2 linked regions of the Solanum lycopersicum genome follow. The protein of the gene in region 2 interacts with the protein of the main gene of each other region in a pairwise test. Links are inferred from orthologs where the notes say so. Each region holds a gene or a part of one and is shown on either strand. Other genes may lie near its edges.

What was found.
Region 1: the proteins of actin-related protein 2/3 complex subunit 2A (region 2) and actin-related protein 2/3 complex subunit 4 interact in binary tests that used the Arabidopsis thaliana proteins (3 or more experiments, as listed by UniProt). The link is inferred for Solanum lycopersicum from reciprocal best matches to the Arabidopsis thaliana genes DIS2 and ARPC4.

Annotation. Positions count from the first base shown.
Region 1 is NC_090811.1:68,151,633-68,156,235, reverse strand, and holds the start of actin-related protein 2/3 complex subunit 4, read right to left. Parts: upstream 2,818-4,603; 5' UTR 2,756-2,817; coding exon 2,753-2,755; intron 2,038-2,752; coding exon 1,963-2,037; intron 1,862-1,962; coding exon 1,796-1,861; intron 1,073-1,795; coding exon 1,020-1,072; intron 586-1,019; coding exon 558-585; intron 1-557. Other genes in the region: uncharacterized protein, read right to left, coding at 3,768-3,944, 4,508-4,603.
Region 2 is NC_090810.1:58,681,446-58,684,575, forward strand, and holds the end of actin-related protein 2/3 complex subunit 2A, read left to right. Parts: intron 1-137; coding exon 138-270; intron 271-344; coding exon 345-436; intron 437-1,225; coding exon 1,226-1,282; intron 1,283-2,075; coding exon 2,076-2,147; intron 2,148-2,228; coding exon 2,229-2,276; 3' UTR 2,277-2,564; downstream 2,565-3,130. UniProt on the Arabidopsis thaliana protein: Functions as actin-binding component of the Arp2/3 complex which is involved in regulation of actin polymerization and together with an activating nucleation-promoting factor (NPF) mediates the formation of branched actin networks.

The sequences.
Region 1 (4,603 bases), on a different chromosome or scaffold from region 2:
TGGAGAACATGTTAACCATCAAGATAAAAAATAAACATATAACTTCTTCTAACGGAAAGTATCATGGACTAAATTTGCATCATTTTTGACGCTAGATGACCTAAATATAAGACTAGTTCGAGTAACCAACCAACTAGGACAGAAACTCATAGCGAAGTTAGCTGGCCTAATCTAATGCTAGCTAGTGCCCCCCAACCAATTTGGACAGCTTGTTACTGTGTTACATCATTAAAGCAACTCATCGACAATGTGCTGGCAGCTAAATTAACAACTCGTGAGCAGGTTTTTGACAAATAGATAATCGTGAGAGAAAAATCATATTATTCTAAAAGCAAGAACTCTCTACACACTTCATAAATATCATGAACAGAATAACACACAATCACTAGTTTAAGAAACCTTCAGTGCATATATAAAGCGAGTCAATAATAACATGTAATTTAGATTGGCAATGATTGTACTGAGAGCAGATGAGCAAACTATGGGAACATGAAAGTCTGTCGAGCAGAGATCTTCAAAAATAAAGATCAAAGTTAAGAATATAAAACAGTTCTTACAGGATTAAGAAGAAGTTCTGGGCTTGTCCTGTAGAACATACCAAATGAGAAAAACATTATTATTCTGATCTACACACTTTGCAGGTAACAAATAAAAGGGAGCAATGAGTCAACGTGTGTTGTAAGATTTTTCTTATTTTATCAATGCTGCACGTCGATTCCTCTAACCCATAAAAAGCATTCAGTATAAGTTTCTCTGCGTAAAGAGATGAGAACTCAACAATAGCATTTTAGTAAAATATTAAGTTCTGCTGCAGAAAGTGATATGTGTATGCAAGTCAAAAGTTAATGTTTTAGGATCCAGTCATACTATATGTAAAAAGAATACACATGAAATTCTTCTTGATTATAGGAATCCACACGCTGTGAAGACATTTGATGAATTACAGAAGAGAAAAATTATGTAATGCTAACCGACATCATTAACTTCGAGTAAAATGAGACAGCAGCATGAAGTCATACTTTAATTCAACCTCTGGTTTGTTATGCCTCTCTACTTCTTGGCATGGGAAATTCTGTAACCAGCCAACAACCATGAGAAAAGGAATGTTAAGACAGGTATAGAGTAACCAATACATCATATTTACTGAATAAATGGTTGAAGGGGCTTAAAAGTCAAAGCTAACACTTCACCGCATGACTAACAGCAAATTATTTTTTCAGATATATCAAGATATGTCAAATGCAACAAACTAATTGACTGAACATAGAACAAATGGTGGCTGAAATAACACACACTGACAACTACTCCTCAATTCCAAGCTAGTCGGCTGAGCGAATAACATATGATTAAAGAAGCATAACAATATGCAGAGAAGGCAATGGAGCAAATCATAATAATAATATTACAATGGAATGCAGATGTCAGACTACAGTTTCTTTTTGTTGGGGGGGGGGGGGGGGGGGTGGAGAAGAGTCGAAAGTGCTGATAACATGCTGCATATGGACTCTCTAATCAAAGCATATATGACTGCCGGAATTAAAACTAATAAGTGTAAACAGAATGACCTAGATGCATGGGAACTCAACTTGCTTCTCGAATCATCCAAAATATCATAGCGTTATGCTTTAAATTGTCTCAAACTACCAAACTTCGTTAATGTCTTGGTGTACAAACCTCAGGCCAATGACAATGCAAGTCAAACACAACAACTAAAAGGACTCAACTAAGTATTTAGTTTTCTTTTACAGTACTGCAAAAATCTCTAATGATATTTAACATGTAGAATGCTACATACCTGAAGACACATTGCTGCCTCAAGCGTATTTCTTATGCATGTCAGATACAATCGCAACGGATTTGCCTAGAAATAAATCAAAACAATAACTGCTCAGCATTTTGCAGTAAGTACCCCCCCCCCCCCACCCCACCCTAGCCACTCAAACACACACATAATAAAATTACATTTATAAACAACCAAACACAAACATTGCTGCCTGGAGCGTGTTTCTTTTGCACGTCACAATGCAAAGGATTTGCCTATAAATTTATCAAAACAATAATTGCTCAGCATGTAACCCCTCCCAACACACACATAAGAAAAAACACTAACATGGCCCCAGTAGTCCCACAAAGTAGGGTATGGGAAGGTTAAAGTGTATGCAAACCTTACACACGCAAAAAAAATGATCACACTTTTACACAACCAAACCCACAGATTGCTGCCTCAAGCTTGTTTCTTATGCATTTCAGACACAATCATAATGGATTTTCCTTCAAATTCATCAAAACTACAACTTCTCAGCATTTTACACCATGTAAACCCCCCACCCCACCCCACACAGAGTCCCACGAAAAGGGGTTCAGGGAGGCTAAAGTATACACAAACCTTACGCACGCACATAAAAAAAGATCACATTTTTAACCAACCATACCCCTTTCAGAAATCATTCCATCTAAAATCTCATTCATTTCATAATTCTTAAGATCCCCCACCCCCCAAACTTTCACCATATACATAGTAATAAGTGCACAACAGTAATATAAGTTCACTAATATATTCTACTACAAACAAACATACCCCGCGCAATCTCTCACAAGTGAGGTCAGCTCAAAACTGCACATAAACATTCTGAAACTACAAAAATATAAAATCTTGGATCTAAACAAGAATCAATTCAAACACATCTCAACATAATCAAATCACTTAATACCCTTATTTTTTTTCGAAATTCAAAATGACTCAAATACTTACCATTAAACGATTGTTTTTCTTGATTTTCCCTTTGAAATTGAATACAATATTAATCCGATCGAAGTTTTAGCTGAATACAGGGTGCACGTTAAGTTAAATACTGCTAAAATGCGCCCAAAAAAAATTATAAAAAAAAAATCCGACCTACCGGATTCGAACCAGTTGACCTAAGGATTAATCTGTGGGTTTTATTTGACCCGACTACAGTCCTCCGCTCTACCAACTGAGCTAAGGTCGGTTTGATGATAAATAATTGATTACAAATTTTTTTATAGATACATACACTCAGAGCTCATTTAGTTGCTCGTTTAGTTGGAGAACAAGTTATCTCGAGACTAGTCAGGCTCTCCATTTAGAGTTTTTAAGTTCGCGTTAATTTATCAGGTATGTTTTCCATTGTTCTTGGTCATGCAAGGATGTCTAGCTTATAATGAACACCCTCAGATAGAAAATTTTTTTGTCTTTAATCGAACATCTCGGATTTCAAATTAGAAAAAAATCTAGATAGGAAACACTTTCCTAAGGATTTCTTATATAAGCTAGAACGACCCTCACAAATTACGAGTACTAATTTGTTAAGAATTAATTTGATTGAAAACATCGTACACGATGTAATTCCAAAATTCCAATCGATCCCAAAAGCGGCTACGAGAGCAATTACCCTTCTAAGCTTAACACGGATTACGTCCTTCTTCTGTCATCGGGGATGGGTAAGTGAGATCTGAAAAAGATAAAATATACGAAGACTTTACCTTTACCTTTTGAGGATAGAGAGGTGGTTTGCGGTAGACCACTGGTGGGTAAGTGAAAAAGAAAAGCTTAAACATCAACTTGATCCATTAAACTTGTAGATAAAAAATGGTTCAAAAAGGAACATGATTCCACCAAATCTAAGTAACTTAAACAATGTCAGTTTATAAAACTCAAGTAAACCTTGACTCAACAAAGGGGAAAAAGTTGGAACATACAAAGTATCCTTTACTATTCATCTTTACTAATGTATTGAGATTAGAATTTAGAGGACTCCAAAGAAGGGATTTTTAATAGCATTGTTCAACTCAGTTCCAGCTGAGTTAAGCACCGCGATGTCCACCTTTTCTCTTGGCAGGTACAAGAATTCACCTCCTTCAACTTTCTCAAATCCACAGTGCTCAAGAAACTCGATGCCTCCTTGCAGCTTGCCAATTCTATCCTGAAAAAACGTCAAAAGAGGATGGTGTGTTATAGTTCCCTGAGTCTGTAAATCGTTTTAAACATTCTACGTATTGTTTAAAACATCTGAATATTGGCTATTGCTGCTACTGCCACCAGCTTTATGAGCTCTAGACCACCTTCTTCAGCCAGGGACTGAGAACTAGATGGGATGGCAAAAATTATACAACCTTATCACCCACCGTCACTCAGAAACTATAAAATGAAAGAAACAGAGGGCAGAATGTTCCCTTTTTTCATTTTTTGACAAGTAGGGAAGCAAAAGAAATTGGGAATTGGTACACTCCTTTGCATAAAGAATTGGAGGTAAGGACCCTAAATCGTACTGCATTTTGGCATGCAAAAATAATTGACTAAGCAAATAATCAAAAGTATATAAACCTAACTCACCCCCTATTTTCAGAAATTGAATGAAGCTAACCAACTAACATAGGCTATAAAAGCAAGGACTAAAGGAGCGTTTCTCCAGTAGAATTTCAGAGTTCAGAAATAACTAAAGAGAAAAAAATAGAGGCATAACAAATTTCATTAACGACGTCTCACCTGAAAAGCAGCATTACTAAGTCTAATCTTGCGGAATTTCTCCTCATTGGGATTTGTAGCGACATTCTTTGCGTAAGTTAAAAGTGTGTTGAAAGC
Region 2 (3,130 bases):
TCTTTGAAAAAAAAATCCAGCTCTTTCATTCAATTTTCTTGCAAGATTTTTGGTGCTTCTCTTTCCCATTGGGATATTAATCTTCATGTGCCTGAATGAGTAGGGTGGCTCACTCTTTGAAATATGATTCTCATCAGGAATTTGTTGAGGCAAGACGAACTGCTGGACTTAATAATGCCCCTCCTTGTTTGTGGTCTCCTTCTCCTCCTCAAGAACTGACAGAAGCTTTTACAGAAGCATTATCTGCTAATGCCGGATTTGTTAGTTTTGGTATAACAGATATTTTAACTAGTTTTTACATTGATATTTTGTGATTCCCATGACCAACTTATTTTTTGACACAGTAATTTTTTCTCGCCACGTGGAAGGCAGAAAGCTGGACAGAACTGTCTGGAACCTATCAACCTTTCATGCTTATGTAAATTATCATGTTAAGGTGAGAATTCTAGACCAAAAGTTTCTTATCTATTGACCTAATTATGTCACATTAATGTGCTTCCATACTTGATGCAACACAATTCACGACGTCTTATGTCAGAAGCTCCCTAGTGAATCTTGAATATGTGCTTTGAAAGATTTTTGTAAATGATGAAGCCCTTCAACCTTATAGAAGGCCTTGCTGACTAAAGATAGAAAGCTTCACTCATAATTATATTCCTATATTTTAATAACTACTTTCTTCTATATTTCTGTGACTGTAAAATTTTAGACAAGGATTCTTCATTCTATTATAATTTTTTAAAGCTCTTCATTCTTTGAATCCATGAAATTAAAATTTCCCACACAGTGGATGCTTGGCATTATATATATATGTGACCTTTTATTCTTTTTTTGGAGAATATGAAGACTAAAATGCCACCACACATATATATCCCAATAGCTAAAGCTTTTTGTAATGATTTCTAATTCAGGCTTTTGTAACCAAACCTGTATAGTGTTCCTGGAGATTTAGTACTGGAATCTGTAGATCCTTGAAGCAGTTTATCTATGGAGGTCTTGAGTCTGTTAAAGTCTTGCAACTGCATCCACTGGGTTACTTGTGTATTTACTAACTTGGATTATTTCAAAGAAACGATCTTTCTCAAGTGAAGTGATCAATTTATGGCACATGTTGAGATTTTCATAACCATTACTGCATGCCTCAATAGCTTTTAATATGATAATATTATTTCTGTCAAACTTTATATCCGAAATTTAATCACTTCGATGTTTTTTCTGTAAACAGTGTTCTGAATGTTTCATGCATACTCGGATGAGGCGTCAGGTGGAGTCATTGATACAGGTAATTATCAATCTTTCATGATAAATTTAGAAACAATAGAATAGCAGGTTTATTGCATTCTGTAATACAAATGTATACTTGGCAATGACCACCTATAAAGAATGCTAATTGGGAAGTTTGCTAAATTTTATATCCGAGGTTGCTTTTTTTTTTTTTTTAACCTTTTTGCTGAAAGAATCATGGCAACTGTTTACTTTTAGCAAAAAGTTCACGCTTGTTCTGATGAGGCTGAATGTAGAGGTTTCTTATGGTTCTTCGTGCAATCCTATTAAAATGTCTGAGTTTGTTTCTCTTGGGCATTAGGTGATTTCCGTTTTGTGTTTTTCCATGAAGCATGTTCATCAAAGTCATTCTACGAAAAAGCTAAATGGTTAATGTCCAATCTTGTTCTTGTATGACCGGCACATTCATCTTAGTATCTACATCTCTGCAACTCTCATCTTGTCGATACGATGGAACTCTAGCAGCCCACATTCACTCTCATATAACATTACTGGTTTTATACTATATAATACTTGTTGCTTAAATGGCGTTTATGTGACCTTCCGAACACGATGCTTGATGATCCTAGTGCCTTTTAAGAACTGAAGTCCCACATGTATCTCAGCTTTAATTCAATTTTCCGTTTTGACATCACATTCTGCCTACTCAACTGCATTGTTTCGTCTTACTGCAGTTCCTTGTAACTAAAATGCCCCGGGACTCATTTCTTGAATTATTTTCTTGTTTAGCTGATCCTAGAACTTGTAAGTTTGTTGTTTGCGGGTTCACAACATTCATAACTCTTCTGCAGGCACTTGACCGTGCCAAACCAGATCCCGAGAAGGCCAAGAAAAATTCACCTAACAGATCATTTAAACGAATGGTAAGTCATTTGATTTGTTTGATCTCTACACCAAATCGTTTCTTACTATCTAATCTGTTTTCTTTCTTGACATTTATATAGAGCCTCAAGGATGGCAATAACAGTTTGGGTTCGCGAAGTTGGAAGTAGAAAATCCGAGAATTGAAAAGGTTACTTGGCCTGAAATCATCGTAAACGCAGCTTCTTCTCTAATAAACTCCATTTTTTTTCATCGTGTTCATGTTTATAGTTGTCGTTGTAAATCTCATTGAATTGTCTTCGGCGTTAGATTTGAACTTAGCCATCTTTGCTGAAGCTTCAAGTTTTGGTTAGCAGATTGCATTCGTTTTAGTTCTGCAAAGTAGTGTAAAGATTGCTTTGTAACAACTTGCAATATTCCCATTTTATAAAGTTGCATTTTTTGCTTATGCTCTAAAACTTGTCTCCGGTGTGACCGGCTCGTGGAAGCAACCACTTATGCTTGTATTAAGATAGACTATCTTCATCAGTCATCCCGTTCCTCGGGTGCGGTCCTTCCCTGTGCCCTACGGGAATGTAGGATGCTTTGTGCATCGAGCTTTGTACAAAATAGTCGAGACACACATAAATTTGGTTAAAATCCATTTTCTTACATGGCCAATGGACATTTTTCATTTTCATTTTTATATTTAGGTTAAAATTGATAAATATATAACACGTAAATATTGAAAAGTAGATATTCATACGCTATGTATTAATTAATTTAATGTAAATATCAGGTACGACTATTTTGTTTTCCGACAAAGGAAACAGTGGGACCCACAATCAATGAAGGTTCCCTTCCCTCTATTCTTATCTTCCGTGACTCTCCGGTCTCTGTACTTAAAACCCTCTAACATACGGCGTCGCGGACGGAGTTAGCGACCTAAAGAGTTCATCGAAAAATTATATTTTATATATAAAGTTATTTTTTTCTATTCATAAAAATAGTAACATATACCAGTGGTTATTACCTATTTTATTCG